Linked DNA regions of Alligator mississippiensis. The protein of the gene in region 2 purifies or fractionates together with the protein of the main gene of each other region. This does not show direct contact. Links are inferred from orthologs where the notes say so. Each region holds a gene or a part of one and is shown on either strand. Other genes may lie near its edges. The genes, in order: VDAC3 and ABCC1.

What was found.
Region 1: the proteins of ABCC1 (region 2) and VDAC3 fractionate together in Homo sapiens (co-fractionation; 3 studies listed by BioGRID). This does not show direct contact. The link is inferred for Alligator mississippiensis from reciprocal best matches to the Homo sapiens genes ABCC1 and VDAC3.

What each region holds. Positions count from the first base shown.
Region 1 is NC_081830.1:17,207,856-17,216,215, forward strand, and holds the start of VDAC3 (voltage-dependent anion-selective channel protein 3), read right to left. Parts: upstream 4,041-8,360; 5' UTR 3,946-4,040; intron 1,614-3,945; exon of another isoform or gene 1,589-1,613; intron 1,272-1,588; 5' UTR 1,267-1,271; coding exon 1,200-1,266; intron 132-1,199; coding exon 82-131; intron 1-81. Other genes in the region: DKK4 (dickkopf-related protein 4), read left to right, coding at 4,732-4,842, 5,668-5,818, 6,859-7,005. UniProt on the Homo sapiens protein: Non-selective voltage-gated ion channel that mediates the transport of anions and cations through the mitochondrion outer membrane and plasma membrane.
Region 2 is NC_081836.1:43,011,507-43,020,949, forward strand, and holds the start of ABCC1 (multidrug resistance-associated protein 1), read left to right. Parts: upstream 1-5,433; 5' UTR 5,434-5,678; coding exon 5,679-5,726; intron 5,727-9,443.

The DNA.
Region 1 (8,360 bases), on a different chromosome or scaffold from region 2:
GAAACCTGCACTAATGAGCAACTCTTATTACAGGAAGTTCTCCTCCCCTTTCCAGTGCCAATGAATGTGCTCAGTACTCACCACTCCACTGGAGGACTTGGTCTTCAGCTCTAACTTAACCAGTCCAAATCCTAAAACACAAAAGCAGAAAGACACCTATTTCATTACAGCATACAAGAAAATGAGAGGCTTTTACTCCTACATGTAATAGTCTGGGAGCACTTACATGAAACAGCCCACCTTGTAAGTAGGACTTAATCTTACTGGGAAAGAATTAACTAGGTTCTGATGATCCATGGAAGTTAATAAACCATCTGCTTATCGGAGCACAAGGGAATAGTGAGTGTTCAAAAGTGTGCAAGTAGTTATAGGCTGAGCAGTCCTGAGTTAAATTAACACATTTTAATTCAGAAGGTACCACTTCTGAATTCAGAAGGTACCATCTGCTGTGGCCAGATGGTACCACCTTTGCGATTATCCAGCCTGAATTCCTGCACAGCACTGGCCAGAGAATTTAATCTAGTAATTCCTGCATCACATTCATAACTTGTTTGAGCCAGGACATATTTTTAGAAAGATATCTAATCTTACAAGTCCTCAAGAGACAGAGGATTTAACACACCCCTTAATATGCCATTCCAATGGTTAATCAACCACATGTTAAATATTTGTTCCTTCTTCCCACTCTCAAATGTATCCAAACTCGCACTCCCTCTGCATTCTATTTTGCCTTTCTTCCAGAGCCCTCAATCAGAGATTCGCCCCATTACAGACTGGGATCAAACTCACCTTTTAGTCTCTTCTTTTCAAAAGCTAAATAAATTGAGGCATTTAAATCTCACAGCAAGGCAGGCTCTCTCAAGACCTTGTCCTTCTTCTCTGTTTTGACATGATCTCACACTGACAATACCACTTCTTCCCTATTCCTACTTGACAGTCCACCATTTATGTATCCAAGGATAATTTTAGTTATCTTTCATCTTGAATGCTCCTAGATTTCTATTCTAAAAAGAGAAACCTTTTAGCTGAACTTTGCCACATTTTAGCTTGGCCTTTGTTAATACTACCAAAAGAGATTAAAAAAAAAAAAGATACCATGCTAAGATATCCTTGCCTCTTGCCTAATTTCTGGACTACCAAGGCTACAGCATCACACTTACACTACTGTATTAGAATCAACACATGATAATGCTACTTACCATAACCCTTGTTGAATACATCTCTGGCAGATTTCCCCAGGTCACAGTACGATGGTGGGACAGCCATTGGGTCTGAAGAGATAAGAAATGGGAAGAACCCATATTTCATGACACAGAAACAAAAAACATAGCTCACTAAGCACTTAAGGTACCCAGCAGAAAAGAAACCATGGTGCAAGGCAGCAGTCTTCTACTGTGTTCAGTGACCTCCCTTAGTCCAACACTGGTTTTGTCAGAAAGGTAGTGGGGTTTATCTGCACAGAACATTTAAAAAAAAACAATCTACACCCAAAACACCATATCCTAGGAGTGAAATTTAACTCCAACAGGATCCTTGTGCCTCAGTTAATACCATATTGGATAAATAACATACACACGCTCCAACATACATATGCTACAATGGCTGTTCCATGCCACTTCAAAATAAACTTTCTTTTCTCCCACCGGTGTTCTCAGCTCCTCCCCTCAAGCAGTCACCACAGCTTTGGGAAAACATAAAAAGGACTTCCGTTTATAAAACAGGGAGGCGACCCTGCTGATGTTTCTACAAAAATATACAGAAAAGAAAAGATGGCAGCAGTAAGGTCTAGATACGTAACTGTCTGAACAAAATTAAAATTAAGAGAACAAGATCCACAAACACATGAGGCACAAATCTAAAGAGAGAAGCGTTAATTTTAACACTGAATTACTTGGCCTTTTTGACTTGTCAAAATGTATCATTTCTTTCAAAAGTATGTAATACCCTTTTCCCCAGCAGCTAAATGCTTTTTTGACATTAAAGATGGCTCTGGAATAGAAGCTACAGACCCCAGAAATGCAGATTTAGACCTTAAGGTCTGATACCCATCATGCCACTGTGATGGGTGGTTTCAGGAAGAACAGACTAGCCCACAGGTGAACTTTGTTAATGGCAGCTCTCTGTCTCTTAATCCTTCCTAAAAGAGGCTCATTTGTTAAGATTCCTCTACTCAACAGCTCCACTAGAAACAGCTCTTGTTGATAAATTATGTCAGACAGAAATTCTTTCTTATCCAAGACAACAATGCAAGGATTTTACCTCCTAAAGTCACCAGTTCCCTTCAAACCATTTACCTTTCCTTGGATCTACACAGCAATGCTACTGTTTAGAAGCCTCTTTCTGATTTCTGGTGGACTTTTCTTCCTCATGTTCTTTCTAGAAACCTGACCATTTTTATTCTGACCTTTGTAGGATGAGAAATCAATTCTTGCACCAAGCAGCTTCTAACACTGCCCTCGAAAAGACAGGACTAATCAAATGCAGAACTGCTTTTGCTCTCTTGTGTCAAGGTTTCTGTATTAACTCATCCTTGCAACTGGACAATGTAGGCCTTTCACAGATGTTAGGGGCTGGAAGGGACCTTACAAGATCATTGGGAGCAGCCACCCTGCACTTGGGCAGGAAAGCCCAGCAAAGTGGGCACCAAGCCATTTTCTGAAGATCTCCAGGGTGGGTGACTGTACCACCTCTGGGGGGAGCCTGTTCCACACCTTCAGCACTCGACTAGTTTTTCCTTATGTCCAGTCTGAAGCAATCTTTAATCAGCTTGTGCCCGCTATTCCTTGTCTTCCCCTTTCCCTAGATGCAGCATTCAGATAACTTCCACTCCCCTCACAGATACCTTAAGGATGGCTTTCCATGCTGTATAAATATATACACACATATCTATCTGTATATACCTGTGGGTCTAGCAGGTCTAGAACAGCTGGACATGACTGCAGACTCCTTATATGAAGCTTTAGGTCATAAATTACTGTACTTCTTAACTGTCAAGTTATAAAATGCCTCTCTACCTGTCAAATACGGAAAAAAGATGCATGCGTTGTTAAAGATAAAAGACAAGCGACACTGACACTGCGCCGCAGGAATTGCGGTAACCGTTATGATGGCTGCATTTCTTTATCGACGCTACTGTCACCCAAATAATCTTCCAACTGAATACTCATCAAGCTCTACACCCAGCAACAAGAGGCATCACACGGTTTAAAAGACTGCCCGATGCTCTTTCATCTGCAAGTCTCTTGCTGGGGGATTGTTCGCTGCGCTTATTACAACACAGCTCCGTGACCTGGTCTGGACTAGATATTTAATAAAAAGGCGTAACCGAGGCAAGACCTTCACCCTGGGAAAAGTTTAAAAACCGGTACAGTGGATACGTGATAACGATGCTTATCATGTATCCCCCATATTGGTTTTTAAACCTTCCCAGGGTGAAGGTCTTGCCTTTGTTATGCCTTTTTGTTAAACAGCAGGCACTTTTACTAGCAAAAGCCAAGCCCAGAAGAGCCCCTCGGAGGCAAAAGCAGCAGCAGGATGAGACCTGCCGGCCCACCACCGTCTTGGAGCAGCATCCCCACTCCCACGCCCTGGTTCCCAGCACAGCCCCGCTTCCTGCCTCGGCCACGCGGTGTGCTGCCACCACTCATGATTTCTGGCGTTGCTCTGAACACAGCCATGCTTCGGGAATGTGAAAGCGTCGCTCTTTCTTTTACACGTCTATATGAAGATGTGTGTGGGGGGGGGGGGAGGGGCGGCACGGCTCCTGGCCCACAGCAAGGCCTGCTCTGCCCCGGGCCGGAACAGCCGCGCCCATCGGGGCCCCGCGCCGCGCGCCGGGACCAGCCGTTGGCCGCGCCCGCCACAGGCCGCAGCCGCCCAGCCCCCCGGGCCAGCCCAGCGCGGAGGCCGCGGCCCGTTCCCGGCCCCGGTCCCGCCCCGCAGTACCTGGCAGCGGCGCCCGTCCGTCCGTGTGACTGAAGGACTCCGCAAACGCCCGCGGCCTCCGCGTCGCGCTGCTGACGTAACCGCAGGCGCCGCGCAATGACGCGCCGGAGGAGGGGGCGGGAAGGCGAGCGCTCCACGCGGGCCAGCAGGGCGCGCTTGCGCACTAGGCGCCTCCAGCCCGTCCGCCCGCGGCACGTGCGGGCGCCCCCTGGCGGTTCGCGCGGACAGAAGCACGTGCGGCTGCAAGCCGGAGCAAAGCGACGCGCTTCCTTCCCTTCCCGCCGCAGCCTCAGCCTCAGCCCCGCGGCCACCATGAGTCAGGCTCGCGGAGAACAAGGAGCGCGCGGAGCTTAGCGCAAAGCGCTTGGCAAAGGGAAGGGCGGAAGTGCAGGCGATTAGCCGGGGAGCGCACCACATCCTGCCTCTCTCTCAGCCCTTTGAACTCCTGGATAGGCCGTAATTAGGAGGGCTCAGCCGGTGCCCTACCTGCTTGCTCCAGCTCTTGAAGCCTTGTTTTGAAGTGTTGATCCAACAGATTTGAAGAGCTTTGCTGAAGCTTGTGTGGGCTGAAGAGAAAGGAAACAAGGTGAGAGCGGGAGGCGGCGATGGGAAGGAGAGCGAGCTTAGGTATAAATAGCCCCGCAGTCCTGTCCACGGCTCCGCAAGTCTCTCTCTCACGGTCAGTCTCTTGCAAAGACTGCCTCGCTCGGCTTCAACGCTCCAGCACCACTTAACTAACAGCCAGAGCTGCAGCACCCCTTGGGCACAGGTTTGCCTGTCTGAAGGATGGACGCAGTCTGGCTGCTGGCACTCAGCTGCATCTGTTCCCCGCTGGTAGCCCTGGTCCTGGACTCCAACACCATCAAGAGCGCTGCAGAAGTGCACGGCCCCAAGACGGTGAGCGCCCAGGGGCTGAATTAATTTGGTGGGGAGGGCCGTGAATCTGGCTGGTTTCTCAGGCTGTAACCAGAGGAGGGGAGGGCCGTTTGGATCAGGGCCAGGCACAGAGCAGAGAAACATTAAGCAAGAGGATAGACTTACTTTTGCGATACTAACGGACCGACTTGTGCAATACGTGCAGCTGCATCTCTAGCTTAAGCAGACAAGATTCAGCTGTCGTTAGAGCACATCCAGCTGGACGCGGGGATTTCTAAGTGGAGAAAATTCTGAGACTGGGGGTGCATGGCTCTTCTCAAAAGACATGGGGAAACAGACTCCTTATATATACACAAGCCAAGTGGTGGCAGCAGCCTGTCTGAGCTGATGAGCTCCTTCCCGGAGCACTACATTAAGGGTCTGAGCCCAGGACTGCAAGCAAAGGAGGCTCAAGTCCTGTTTTCAGTTCAGAAAATGACCTGCTCTGTAGCATCAGGGCACTTACCAGATTGCCATGTGCTATGAACACCGCCCCTTGTGGGCAGTAGGAAATGTAGAAGGACTGCTACTTTTAAAATAATAATGCTAATACTATGAAAGAACTGCTACTTGCTGAGAGCCAGCACTGCACAAGGCCTAATGAAGAATGCAGCTGCAGCCCTTTTCACCAGACATGCTGAGCCAGAGCCAGAACACTAGCAAGTCTTATTTCTGCATTAACACGCACAGGAGGCTCAAGTCTCTTTCTGTACAAGCAGCAGAGCATTTTATTACTGGTGCTGATAAACATGAGTTTTTCCCTCTGAAGAAAATAAGCATTCTCCCTCCCTCCCTCTCTCTCTGTAGAGCTCACCATGCATGACAGACAAAGACTGCAATGCAAGCAAATTCTGTCTCACTCCTCAGGATGGCATGCCTTTCTGCTCTACCTGCCTTGGGTTACGGAGAAGATGCCAGCGCAGTGCTATGTGCTGCCCAGGGTCTATTTGTCTAAATGGTAAGCTCTCACACTCATGTATTCCTGGTACTTAAAAGGGATAGTGAAAGTAGAACAGGAAGGACCATGCACACTGCAGAAGTGATGGTGAGGTTTTGAGAGATTTACTTTTTGATAATGTTGAATCTAATCCCTATGGCCTTTCTTTACAAAGCAGTTTTCTTAACTGAGTCATGCAGCAGACTAGGAGCTTTTTCAAAACAAACTGCAGTGTTGTATACACAGCTGAATGCATTAAGAACAGCAAAGCTGATAGTAATAAGAACAAAGCCCTTGTTACGAAGCATAGCTAACTGAGGCAGATCTATAGCCAGCATGTTCAGGGGACTTATCAGAAGACTTATCTTCTTATAGCAGGAAGAAATTAAATTTTAACAAGAGGCACAAGAGGCTAGCTAAGAATACAGTGAAAATACTGATACAGCGAAGGAAAAAGCATTTTATAAGTCGCTCTGTATTTAGAAAGAAATGCAACATATTTACACCGTATAGCAATAAGGAAATACTTTGACTAAAAAGAAAGCTACAAGAATGAATTAAGATGTGGGGAATAAAAGTCTTACAGTTATAATCTGTGCAGAGTTTCCAAGAGATAAAGGTTAAGAGATGCAGTGATCAGTCTACCACTATTTCTAAGGGAAGCTTCTTTAATTTAACACAAAGCTTCTAATGGTTGGCAGCTGAAATTCAGACTAGAAATCAGATTGATACCTTTTAACTTTAATTCAAGTTAGGCTCACTTACCCAGGGGTCTGCTGGATTCTTCATCATCACCTGAAGTGTTTGAGTACAGACTGGATGTCTTTTCAAAGACAAGCTGTAACTTAAACAGAATCTGTGGTCTTAATGTCGATATTAACAGAGAGGGTCTGTGGCCTGTGTTTTATGCAAAAAAGTGAGACTGGCTGCTAAGAAAGTTTGGGGGGTTTTCCAGCCTTAAAGCTCTATGCAGCTATGAAAGGTCCCTCCAAACAGCAGTATCAGCATTCCAGCGCTCTCCATAGATATCCATAATTGTAGCCTTCTCCTTTTTGCACTAGACATTTGCAGCCGGGCTGAAGAAGTTAACCGAACGGAGGGAAGGAGGACTGATGAGCAGGATGGTTCTGAGCTGGAGTGGACAACCCAGCATCAGAGCCAAGAAAACTCTTCCAAGAAAGTAAATGTCACCTCTCAACATAGCAAAGGTAATGTGGGCTGAAGAAGAAGAGGGGAAATCATATTCCAGCAGAGGAATAAAGTATACCAAAATGGCAGGATGGGGAGGGGAAGAGAGAAAAGTAAAAGTCTGTGGAGATGCCTGGAATCTCCCATTAGGAAAGAGTGTTTGTACTTTACTTCGTTTGCATAAGAAATGTGAACAGACAGATTCCAGCAATCCTTAAAACTATACATTGGAGAGAGCCGCACTGGAGAAAGCTACATAGTTTCCTCCACTGAGATTAAAATAGCACCTAAGATAATTCAGTCAACATCTTACAAAGAGGGGAAGAACTGGGGTTTGGTTAGTAGAACATCCAGAAAAAAACACTGATATATGTACTTGCTCAGAAATAAAACACGTTCAATTTGTTTCTCTCTTCGTGAGCATGGGACCTCACATTTTGCATCATGTACAATGGCAAGCAGATTGATTATGCTTATGTAATAGGAAATAAGTTTGTTATTCATAACTAAAAAGCTAAGTGTGCAATGTTCCTTTAACACTAACCAAGGGATACTGCAATTTATATAATTAACCCATCGCAATACAGGAAAAGCAGTGGCAGGGGTTTCAAGAGTTTAAGGCTTCAAAAGCTCAGTTATTCAGCAAGCTTGAAGGAACTATTACTACTCCATTATTTTTACTAGCATAGTGCTTAAGTCACAGATAGCACAGGGGCCCATTGTGCTAATCACCATACAGACAAAGGACTAAAGCTGCAAATGTTTACGTGCGTGCCTAAATGTTTGCTCAGATCAGGACAGAGAGAGGAAGACTAGCCCCATCCAAATGAGCTTGCATTTAAAGAGTAAGCTACAAATGAGCTTATACTAGTGAAAAACTTCCAGGGTAGAAGATGGGTTATGTCCACAGTGGGGAGAGGGGGAAGGAGGGCTGTATACAACCTGTAGATTAATGCAACAGCAGCAGCAGTCCTGGCTGTGATTATCGCTCAGTAAACTTTTGTACGCAGGGCACTGACTCTTAAATTTCTTGCTGAGAAGATAAAGATGACTTTCAGGGTGGTGATGCTAGAGGACAGGCAGTTGAAACAGCACAAAGATCTTTGTGTTAGGAAAATATCACTTGTGTTCCAAGTGTCCAGCAGGCAGCTTGTACTTAGAAGTTTAACCAATAACCCACTTCCAGGTTTCTAAGCAGCTGGATCAGAGCAAGGGCTGTGTAGGAGATGGGGGTGGGGGTGTTCTACAACTGAACAGATCAGGACTCTGGCCTAGAGCAAGTCACACCTCAGTTTAAGGTCTCCTTTAGCTTCTTTGCCTGAGGAACAGGCAGTCAAGCCACACCCTGTCAGGAAGCTGCAGTGAGCCCCAAAGT
Region 2 (9,443 bases):
GGTGCTGGTTGTTTTGAGGTACTGTTGAAGAAAGGGGCTGCCAGTGAGTGTGGAGGCCTGATGCAGTTCTCCTTGCATGTCTGGACCCTGGCCTACAAGGTAGGAGGAATGACCTGGTCTAGATTGTCTTGCCAGGCTTTGGTAGTTTGGAATCGTGAGCTATTTACTTATGGTGGCCTCTACGGGCAAGTGCACCATTTCTAAGTGCCTGTTGCCACAACAAAACTTCTGCATGTCATAGCTTTGCGTAAGACATCCTGAATCATTTCTGATAGAGATGTCTCGGCCACACCCTGGAAGGAGAGTTGTGGATTATAGTGGGGGTGAAATCATCTGACCAAAGTCCTTTTAATGTAGTGGGAAATTTTTACTAGCTGGTACCTGGAAGCCACCAAGAGCACTTCCTCTATTACACCGTATAATTCATGCTTAGTGTAAACCAGTGGAATTGCTGTAGTGGGGGCAGTAGCTCTGCTTTTAGGATAGCGTTCTGGCGATTGGCTTTTTCATTTCCATTGTCCATTACCTCACCAAGGGTGTGTTTCACTGACAGAGATCCACAGAGGAGTGAGTACACTATTTCCCTCCTGTCCTTCCTTTTAGTCTCTGTGGGGCAGACCTGTAGCATCCACAGGTGGTGGATAGTGGAATGACCTTCAGGGAAGGTTAGCCATGAAATAAGCAGGGGTAACTGAAGAATAAGCACCAAGCAGCAGCAGCACCACCAGGATGTGATGGGGACAGCAAATGGCAAAGGTTTCCCTCCTGAAAAGCCATGTGTATCCTCTGACCGTGCTGTGACATGATGAGTACAGGTCACCACTATAATAAGCCTGCCTAGCTCCTAGCTATGGGTCTACAGTCCTCAACCGCAAAGCAGGTGGAAGAAAATGTTAGAATCTGAATGGCTGGGGAGGCAGATGAAGGCTGCAACTGAACGAGATCCACAGCTGTCTTGGTCTCCCTGCCATTGGATTAATGTCCCATTCTGTCATGAGCTGTGTGAAAGCTGATATGCAGCAGCTTTTCCAAAATAAAAGAAGTCACGCACAGGCGTCTTCCATGCCTTTTAGTCTTTCTGTTTTTCAGATTGTTTTTCTTTCTCTCTGGCAAACAGTCCAAAGTAGAACTTTTTTTCATATTCTCAAATAAATGTGTATCCCATGAATTTTGTTGTGTCTTTTCTGTGTGCAAAGCAAGATTTCATTTGTTTTGTATTTTTGCACTGCTTGAGCCCATATTTGTTTTCATCTTCCCTGTTCCACTCATTAGATGCTGCATCTGATGGAAAATTCTTGGTGTTCTTTTTGTTGCTGTTTCTGAATTCTTCCACTGCTTTCACCCTCATCCCATTATGGTGGCACGATATAATTTAATTTTATTTAGAATTTCTATAAGAAACATCTGAAAGCTTAGTTAAGGAACTAATTAAGCTTCTTTTGGATTCAATAGGATTTTGAGGCCTCTTAAGGCCGCCGTTCCTGATGAGTATTTATCACTTATGAAATAGTACAGATGAGAATAACCTTTTAAAAAAATAATATTTATTACAGATACTCCATGAATGTTCAATCTTACCAATTTACTCCCCAATAATACAGACTTGTATCTACATACAATGATAGCCTCTTCTCCAAAACCAGCTAATTGCCCAATATAGCAAGATTTCAAGATGTTCTCTAAACAACCAGATTATCTACAATCGGACAAAAAGTATGGACATATTCATTTTCATGTGCAAACCTCAAGGAAAAATATTAATATATTTTGTTTAAGACCCAAACTAGGAATAAATAGAAAAAAATTATAGAATTAAACTAACTTTTCTTCAGATGAAATAATAATTCAGGTGTCTTAGGTTATTTAGAAATACTGTATTACTAGGAAGAGAGAGCTTTTATTTATGTTAGAAAGGTTTGGCAATTTTGAAGTTAAGCTATACAGTAGACTTGTTCTGGTTGGTTGGTTATTAGCCATCTCTGTGTTTTTAATGTCCTGAAAAAAACTTCTTTAGAATAGAAAGAACAGTAAAAGTTGAAATTGTTATCTGTGGCACGACTGCTTGATAATCAAAGGAAAATGATCCTTTTAATATCTTCCATCTTAGTTGAGTCTTGAAAGTGTAACGGAAGAGGTGTTTTTTGCAGACATCCTAGCATATAACTGGACAGAAATGAGGGACAGAAGGCGAGGAAGAGGAAAAATGTGTCCTGTTCACATTCCTGACTTCATACTTTTTTGTTTTTCATACTTGTTTTTTCTCCTAGTAGAGAATAGAACTTCCCGTCTTTATTCAGTGCCACTAATTATGCAGTAACTAACTCCAAAACGTCATGTTAGGCTGAAGAATAACTTATGAATTTGTCATCGGTAGCAGTAGTAGTAGTTGTTCAGTACATACATAGCCATGAGAGAGACCTACTACAGTGTTTGTAGATGTGTCCTGATTCTTTACAAGCGAGATTGGTAACCTACCAGATGTGTATGGTATTGATGTGGGTCATCATGGATGGTAAAGAGATACTTTAACAACCTTGCCAGGTAGTGTTATTGGTATGAGATGATGAAAGAAGGGGATGCAAAAATATATTTAAAAGAGTTTTCCTGACCAAACATTCCCTTGCAGTATTGCAAAGCAACCTTTCTAATGTCATCGTATAAACTGAACAAACAAAAAAAATTACACAAATGTAGTTCCACCTTTGGCTGTTGGGTTTACTTGTCTGATCACGTTTCTTTTTCCTGGATCACCTTCTGCTGCTAGATGGGTGACCAAACACAAGTGCATGGCTAGACAGACAAAAAAATGGCTGTTTGGGTGAAAATCTGACCCCACATTGCATGTATAGTGGTATATATAATGCCATGTATGTATACTGACATGTACATGAACATTGATGTCTACCACCTATTCTTTTTGATGTGAAATTGGGGCATCAAGTCTGATTTTGAAGGTGCACCTAGAATAGATGAACAGTCGATCCATTGCTCAAGGTTATACAATGCAGCTCCTTCTGCCTTCAGAGATGCTCAAGTGTAAATAAGATTGCTGACAAACCCATCTACTTTATTGCTTAATTACATCAGCTTTGCAAGGAAATTGTTACAATGAAGTTTCTTACCAAATGATTATTCCTAAAGGCTGCTAATAATTAATCACAGCTATGTGGTACTGCTCCTATTTTGCCCTGTCTTGACACATACAGGTTTCCCTTGATTTATGCTGTACATACGTTCCCGGAGACCGGCGCATAAACTGAATTTGTATAAAGTGAACCCGCTTTATAATGTAACAAATAGGGATAGGTTTCCATGGCGGTGAGGGAGGGAGCGAGGCTGAGACTAGGGAAGGGGCAGGGAGAGGGGTGCGCAAGGCAGCAAAGCAGAGGAAACAGCGGCACGCACCCCAGCCCTGGCTGCAGCAGCCCTGGGAGCAGCTGGCGTCTGCTGCCTGCAGCTGCTGGGCTGCACTGTGCTCTGCCTGTCCCCACTCACCTCTTCTCCTGGGCTGGGCCGTGTCCTGGTGCTGGCAGCTGGTGTCGGCTGCTCCCGGGGCCGCTGCAGCCGGGGCTGGGGTGAGTGGGGACATGGCCCTTTCTCCTCCCCCCGCCCCAGACTTACCTGCTTGGGCGGGGGACATCTACACTGATCACATAACAGTGAATTTACCTTGCATATAACAAATCATGGGTCTAAATATGCTCGTTGCATAAGAGCAAATTTGTATATAAAGAACCCGCATAAATCGAGGGAAACCTGTATAGTACCATTGCTGCAGACAATGTAGCCCTGAAGGACATAACTTCAGGACTGAAAAAAATGTTGCCCTTATCAGAAGTATGTACTTAATGTAAACACTACTCATTAAGTAGGCAGGGGTTTAGGTTGTAGCCGTGTTGGTCTAAGGATATAGGCAGACAAGGTTCCTTGGGTGAATTTGAAATCTTTTATTAGACCAACCCAAATGGTTGGAGAATAGTTATTAAGCAAGCTTTCGGGTTCAAAAACCCTTCATCAGGCTAAGGAAGCTGCAGCAGTTGGTGTGTGCTCTTCCTGGATTAAGTAGGCAGCACTCCAGTACTGGAAACTAGTCAGTTCCACAACTGCCCCCAGCCTGGTGACCAACCTGCAGCCTGGGTGCCACAAGTGGCCCAGAGGGTTCAGAAAGAAGTGACAATTTTTGCTTCATCTGGCCACAGAAAGTGGTCTATAGCTGTGACCAAACACAAGTGCATGGCTACAAACTGCTTTAAAAAACTGGCTGTTCCTGTAAAAATCTGACCCCTCAGTGCATGAGCGGTCAGATGAAGATGTTTCAAAACAGAGCATCCTCTGTAACTTGTCTGCATTGCCTGCCAGCCTCGAGCTGTTTAAGAATGGGGGTGAGGGGAGGAGGAAGGGAGCAGATGGAGTTTGGTCTGGGGGCTTTTCAGCCCCTGCTGGAGGGTGGGGCGGGGCGGGGAGGGGGGTTCCAGTTCACCAACCCTCCCTCTAGAGCTGGCTGGGGAACCCCTAGACCTCTGCTGCCTTCCCCCTTCCTATTCTGAAAAAGGGACAGGCTGGGAGAGAAGAGGGGCTGTCACTATGGGAAACTGGCTGCAGACTAAAACTAGCAGCTAGATTCCCCAGCCTGGAGCCAACAGTGATCTCGTGTTCATTCCCAGGGCTTGCTGTAACTCCGCAGCCTTCCTGCAAAGCGTTCTCAGTTACAGCGGGGAGTTGCACTTCTGTCCGTGCCCTGATGAATGTCCCCTCCACTACAGGCCTATTTGTCACCCTTTAAAACACTTGGGCTAAGCCCACCCAGTCTCTCACTGGCCTCCCTTAACAGGGAGGCTACAGGAAAAGGGGACAACAAATTACTTGGGACAAACAATGACAAAAACAGGCCCTTAGCAACAGGACTCCCAGCCCCAGCTGGGCATCAATGGCGATGCATAGCATGTACACCCCCTGAGATTGGCGGTGCACCGGCTGGAAGAAGTGTTGCCACCCCACTCCCCCTCACTGCCGACGGCATCCACAGGTGGTCGCCGATGGCTGCGGGCGGTCCCTGCTTGCCACCCCCTGCTGCAGCTCCCCACTTGCTGCCACCACCTGTGGGTGGTCGCCGTGTCCCCCAGCCTCGGGGGCACACATGGTTCACGCGGGGCATGGTGCACCGCTGTGGCTGGGAGCCCATCCACTGCCCAGGCCCTGCCGCAGGGCAGACCCTTGTGCCGCTGCCAGCTGAGGTTGGATCAGAAGCACCCAGCAAGCCAGCAGCTCATTTCTGAGGGGCGAACTTGACATCTGGCGGAAGGTTTTGCCCCGGGGACAGCCCCTCCGCAGGTGCAGCGGCCTCCGGGCGGTTCACCAGCGAGGTGCAAAGGGGCTCGACAAAGAGAGGTTAGCGCTGGAAGGCGCGTCCCGGCGGCCTCCGCCCGTACTGAGAGCAGGCCCGGGAAGGCCGCGGGAGCAGCACGGAGCCGGGCGGGCGGGCGAGCCCCCAGAGGCGCCCCGGGAGCATCAGGTGCCTCCGGCCGGGCGGCGCCTCCCGGCGAGCGCTCCGCATCCCCGTGACCGAGCAGCCAATCGGCAGCGCGCGGCCGCCCCCGCTCTCGCTAGCTCGCTCTCTCTCTCTCTCTCTCCTCCGGCCGCCGCCGCCGGGCTGGGAGCGGGAGCCGCCGCCGCGCTCCATGGGGGGCCCGGACTTCTGCAGCGCCAGCGGCTCCGACCTCTTCTGGGTAAGCGGGGGGCGCTCCTCGGGCCCGGCCCGGCCCGGCGCTGTGTCACGGCCCGGCCGGGCAGGGCGCGGGGCTCTTCCTTCCCTCGGCCCCCCCAGGGCCGCTCCCATCCCTGCCCTCTGCAGCTCTGCTTTCCGCTCCCAGCCACGTGCTCCCCGGCCCTGCTGCTGCTCTGCTCTGCTCCCTTCCCCGAGCGGGCTGCTGCTCCGCTTTCCGCTCCCAGCCCTGCCCTGCCCGTCCCCTCTGGCCCTGCTGTGTCACACGCGGAGACCGCTCGTGACCCCTGTGCCACCCCGGCACGCGTGCTCCTCTGTGTTTGCTGGACTAGTGGGCTTTTTTCGTTGCCCAGTCCAAACTGGGACTGGCTGCAGCAGGTGTGTGGAGCCGGCGGGTAGACGTACACCTCCCTGCCCCTAAGGCGGCTGTCTGGTGCCCTGGGCTGATAAGAAGTGCTGTCCTTTCTTGCCTGACGTCACCTTCAGCGCAAGACAAACAGCAACAGCCTGGGTGTGGAGAAGCATTTGGGAGTGTTTTGCTAAGGGATTGGAGCCCCCCTGCCTTTGGTGGGGATCCGGGGGGGGGGGGGGGAGACGGCAGACACGCAGCTCCTGGATTGGCTCTGAAGTGGAGCTCGATCCCCTACCCCCTGATGCAACACCACGTGTCTGTTGGGTTCAGGAGGGGATCGCTCTTAAGAATTGCTCGCTGGGTTGAGGACCACGTTTCCCTGGGCGTCTGTCTGGTCTAGCGCCCAGCAGATTCAACTGTTCATCCTCAGGGGGCTTTTAGGGGTCTACTGCAGCATAAATGTTGGATCCTCAATTCTGCTGACGTTCTTGCTGGATGACCATTATTATTATAACAAAATTGGATACCATTATCATAAGTACTAGTCGCAACAGGAAAGATGCACATCTGATAGCTGTTTCTAGTTTATGTTCAGGTGAATAACCACAACTGAGCATCTCCGCTCCGCTCCGAAGATGTGCGCTCCCCGTAGTCTGGGCCTGTATAGATGTATATCACTTATTTCAAGCTTCCGAATAGTGAAACGCTTGCAAGATTTGGGACTTGGCGTCCCTTGGGTGTTTACAGGTTGGGAACCTGCTTTCCTAAATGAAAACGAATTGTGCAAGATGGAATAGTTACTAATCCAGCTTGTCTGGACTGCAAGAGTCCTGTGATGATGTAGCTCCCTTGGGGCAGCCATCTGCATTACTTGCTTGCCCTATAATTTTAATTTTAATGTCTGTTAAAGTTTTATCTATGCACACAAAGTGCACCAGGCTGCTGGGCTGCTTGTGGAATTCAGAGCGGCATTTTCTTTAGACAAACTTGTAAATATCGTGAGTTAGTTTTAGTTTTCTTGAAAATTTTCAAATTCAAGGAATAGTAAAAGGGTTTTTTTGTTTTGTTTCTTTTTCTTCTCTGTGTGAAACTTAAGTTCAAACAAAGTTTCCCTTGCTGCAGTCAGCTTTTGCAGAACTCAAGCTTTAATTGAAAAGTCGTTGGCCTTTGTGAAGCTCAATGTCCCAAATACGAATCGAGTGCGTACGACAGAGTGGGGATTTTGCTTAGCCTGCAGACGTACTGAGTCTGTGGCTTTGCTGCAGCTGCTGAAGCTTTATAGGTTTCCTATTGTTGCAGTGGGCTAGTTATGAGCAGGGTAAAATAGCAGAGCAGTTATGAGCAGTAAAATAGCTCACAAATGACCTTGTAGCAAGGAAAGTGTCTTTCATGTTGGTCTGTTGCTGTCTGGTTGGGTGGGTGCCTGTTTACTTTTCAGGCATGTTGCATGAAGTTTGATAAGGGGCTGGAGGCTGAGTATAACTTTAGAGAAGTGAAGTATAATATGGAGGGGGAAATGAAAGGGATGAGGAGGAACGTATGGTGTAAGGAATAGAAAGAGAAAGTGAGAATGTGGGGTGAACGTAAGGTAAGAAAAGAAATATTGTACTAAGGAGGGCATTGACATTATTTTTAGAGATTTAATGCTTAGGGCTGCTGAGCTTTTTTTCTATCTATTTAATAAATTTTACAAGTATTTATCAAATAATGTAACTGTCAAATAGTATTTGAGCACCTAATAAGCCGGCTGAATAATGGGTAAGAATTTGCCAGAAAAATAACTCAAATATCAATGTCATTTAGCAGGCTCAACAGCTGTTCAAATACCATGGGGAATACCATTTGCTGACTAGTATTGGTGATATTAAATGAAGTCATTAGGCTTCAGCTACAAAACTGTTGACATGTTTGCACTTTATCACAATATAGAATAAATAATACAGAATTTTCCACTGGAACTGTTTGTAGTTAGTTGGGCTGCGCTTGGTGACCCTGGCATGTCTTTGGGCAGATAGATCCCATGATTATACAAAAGTCCAAATGGGAAGGACCTCATGGGGTTATCTATTCTCATCTCCTGCTCAAGTCAGGATCATCCCTGACTGAATGAATGATGTTAGAGGAATCTTTGCAGATTTGTAGCCTGATTCGCTTGTAAATTGGCATACATACATACTGTAGGTAGATAGATTGATAGATACTATTGATTTTTAAGGTTCTATATGTAGGCTTTTTCTCCTAATTTAAAAATCCTAAATTCAAAATTTAAAAGTTGGGCATGTAACTTATTTTCACGATTGAATTGTGTGCCTTTGTATAACTTTTTCTAATTAGTTGGGTAACACACAAGCACTTTGAGTAGTTCAGCCTCCTATTGCTCTTGGATGCCTTCCAAAGCTTGAGAATTAGGACAAATTCTTATTCTGCTTGATCCAAGCCATGTTTTGGTGGCCTTAATTAAAAAGTTAAAGGTTATGTATGGTCATGTCCCCTTTCAGAATTAATTTGCAGTCCTTTTAAAATGGGTTAAATTATGAACAGGGATTAAGTGTGTGTGTGTGTGTGTGTGTGTCCTTTAGAGCAGTGTTTCCCAACCTTTTCCAGCCCCAGGCACACTTACGTTAAAGGTGTTTTTTCCGCAGCACACCTGTGAAGGCATTCCCCATCCTCATATCTATTGTAGCTCATTGCCATGGTAAAATTCTGTGGCACACCTGCTCATTTTTGATGGCACGCTTTTGTGCCATGGCACACTGGTTGTCAAACAATGCTTTAGAGAACTGAGTGATGTTTTATTATAATTGCTAAACTCTGGACCTCATATGTACATGTTGTAAGAATTATCTTCTAGTCATGATGTCAAACTTTTGGCTGTTGCACAGATATGAAGATAATAGTGCCAGTAGAATAGCATCTTACACTTGACCATCAAGTAGAAGGTGGCTGGAATAGAATTTGTGGTTCAGAAGCAGGTAGAAGATGCAGTAAATGGTTACAGGACACCTCCTTTCAGCTTAAATTGTGTAAGCGATGAGTCCCCTTGTGTTTAAAGTGAAATTACTGGAAATGACAGAAATATAAAACTGAAATTGGCAAGCCAGCAAAGAGATGTGCATCTTATCCAGTTTTGACAAATACATGTTACCAAAAACCCGTAAGAGCTTGAGCAGAATTTTAAATAACTAATCTTTGTGTTGGTCTTTTCAATCACATGACAAGTCTGATCCTGATTTGTATGAAAGATGCTATTGCTACCAAAGTGTTTTGAACTATTAATGTATACAATTCTGAAATGCAGCTACTTCTTTAGTGGTGGTCCCAGCCAGTTAGCTTATAAAAGAAGCAAGAGGGAAACTTTTGTTTAAATGG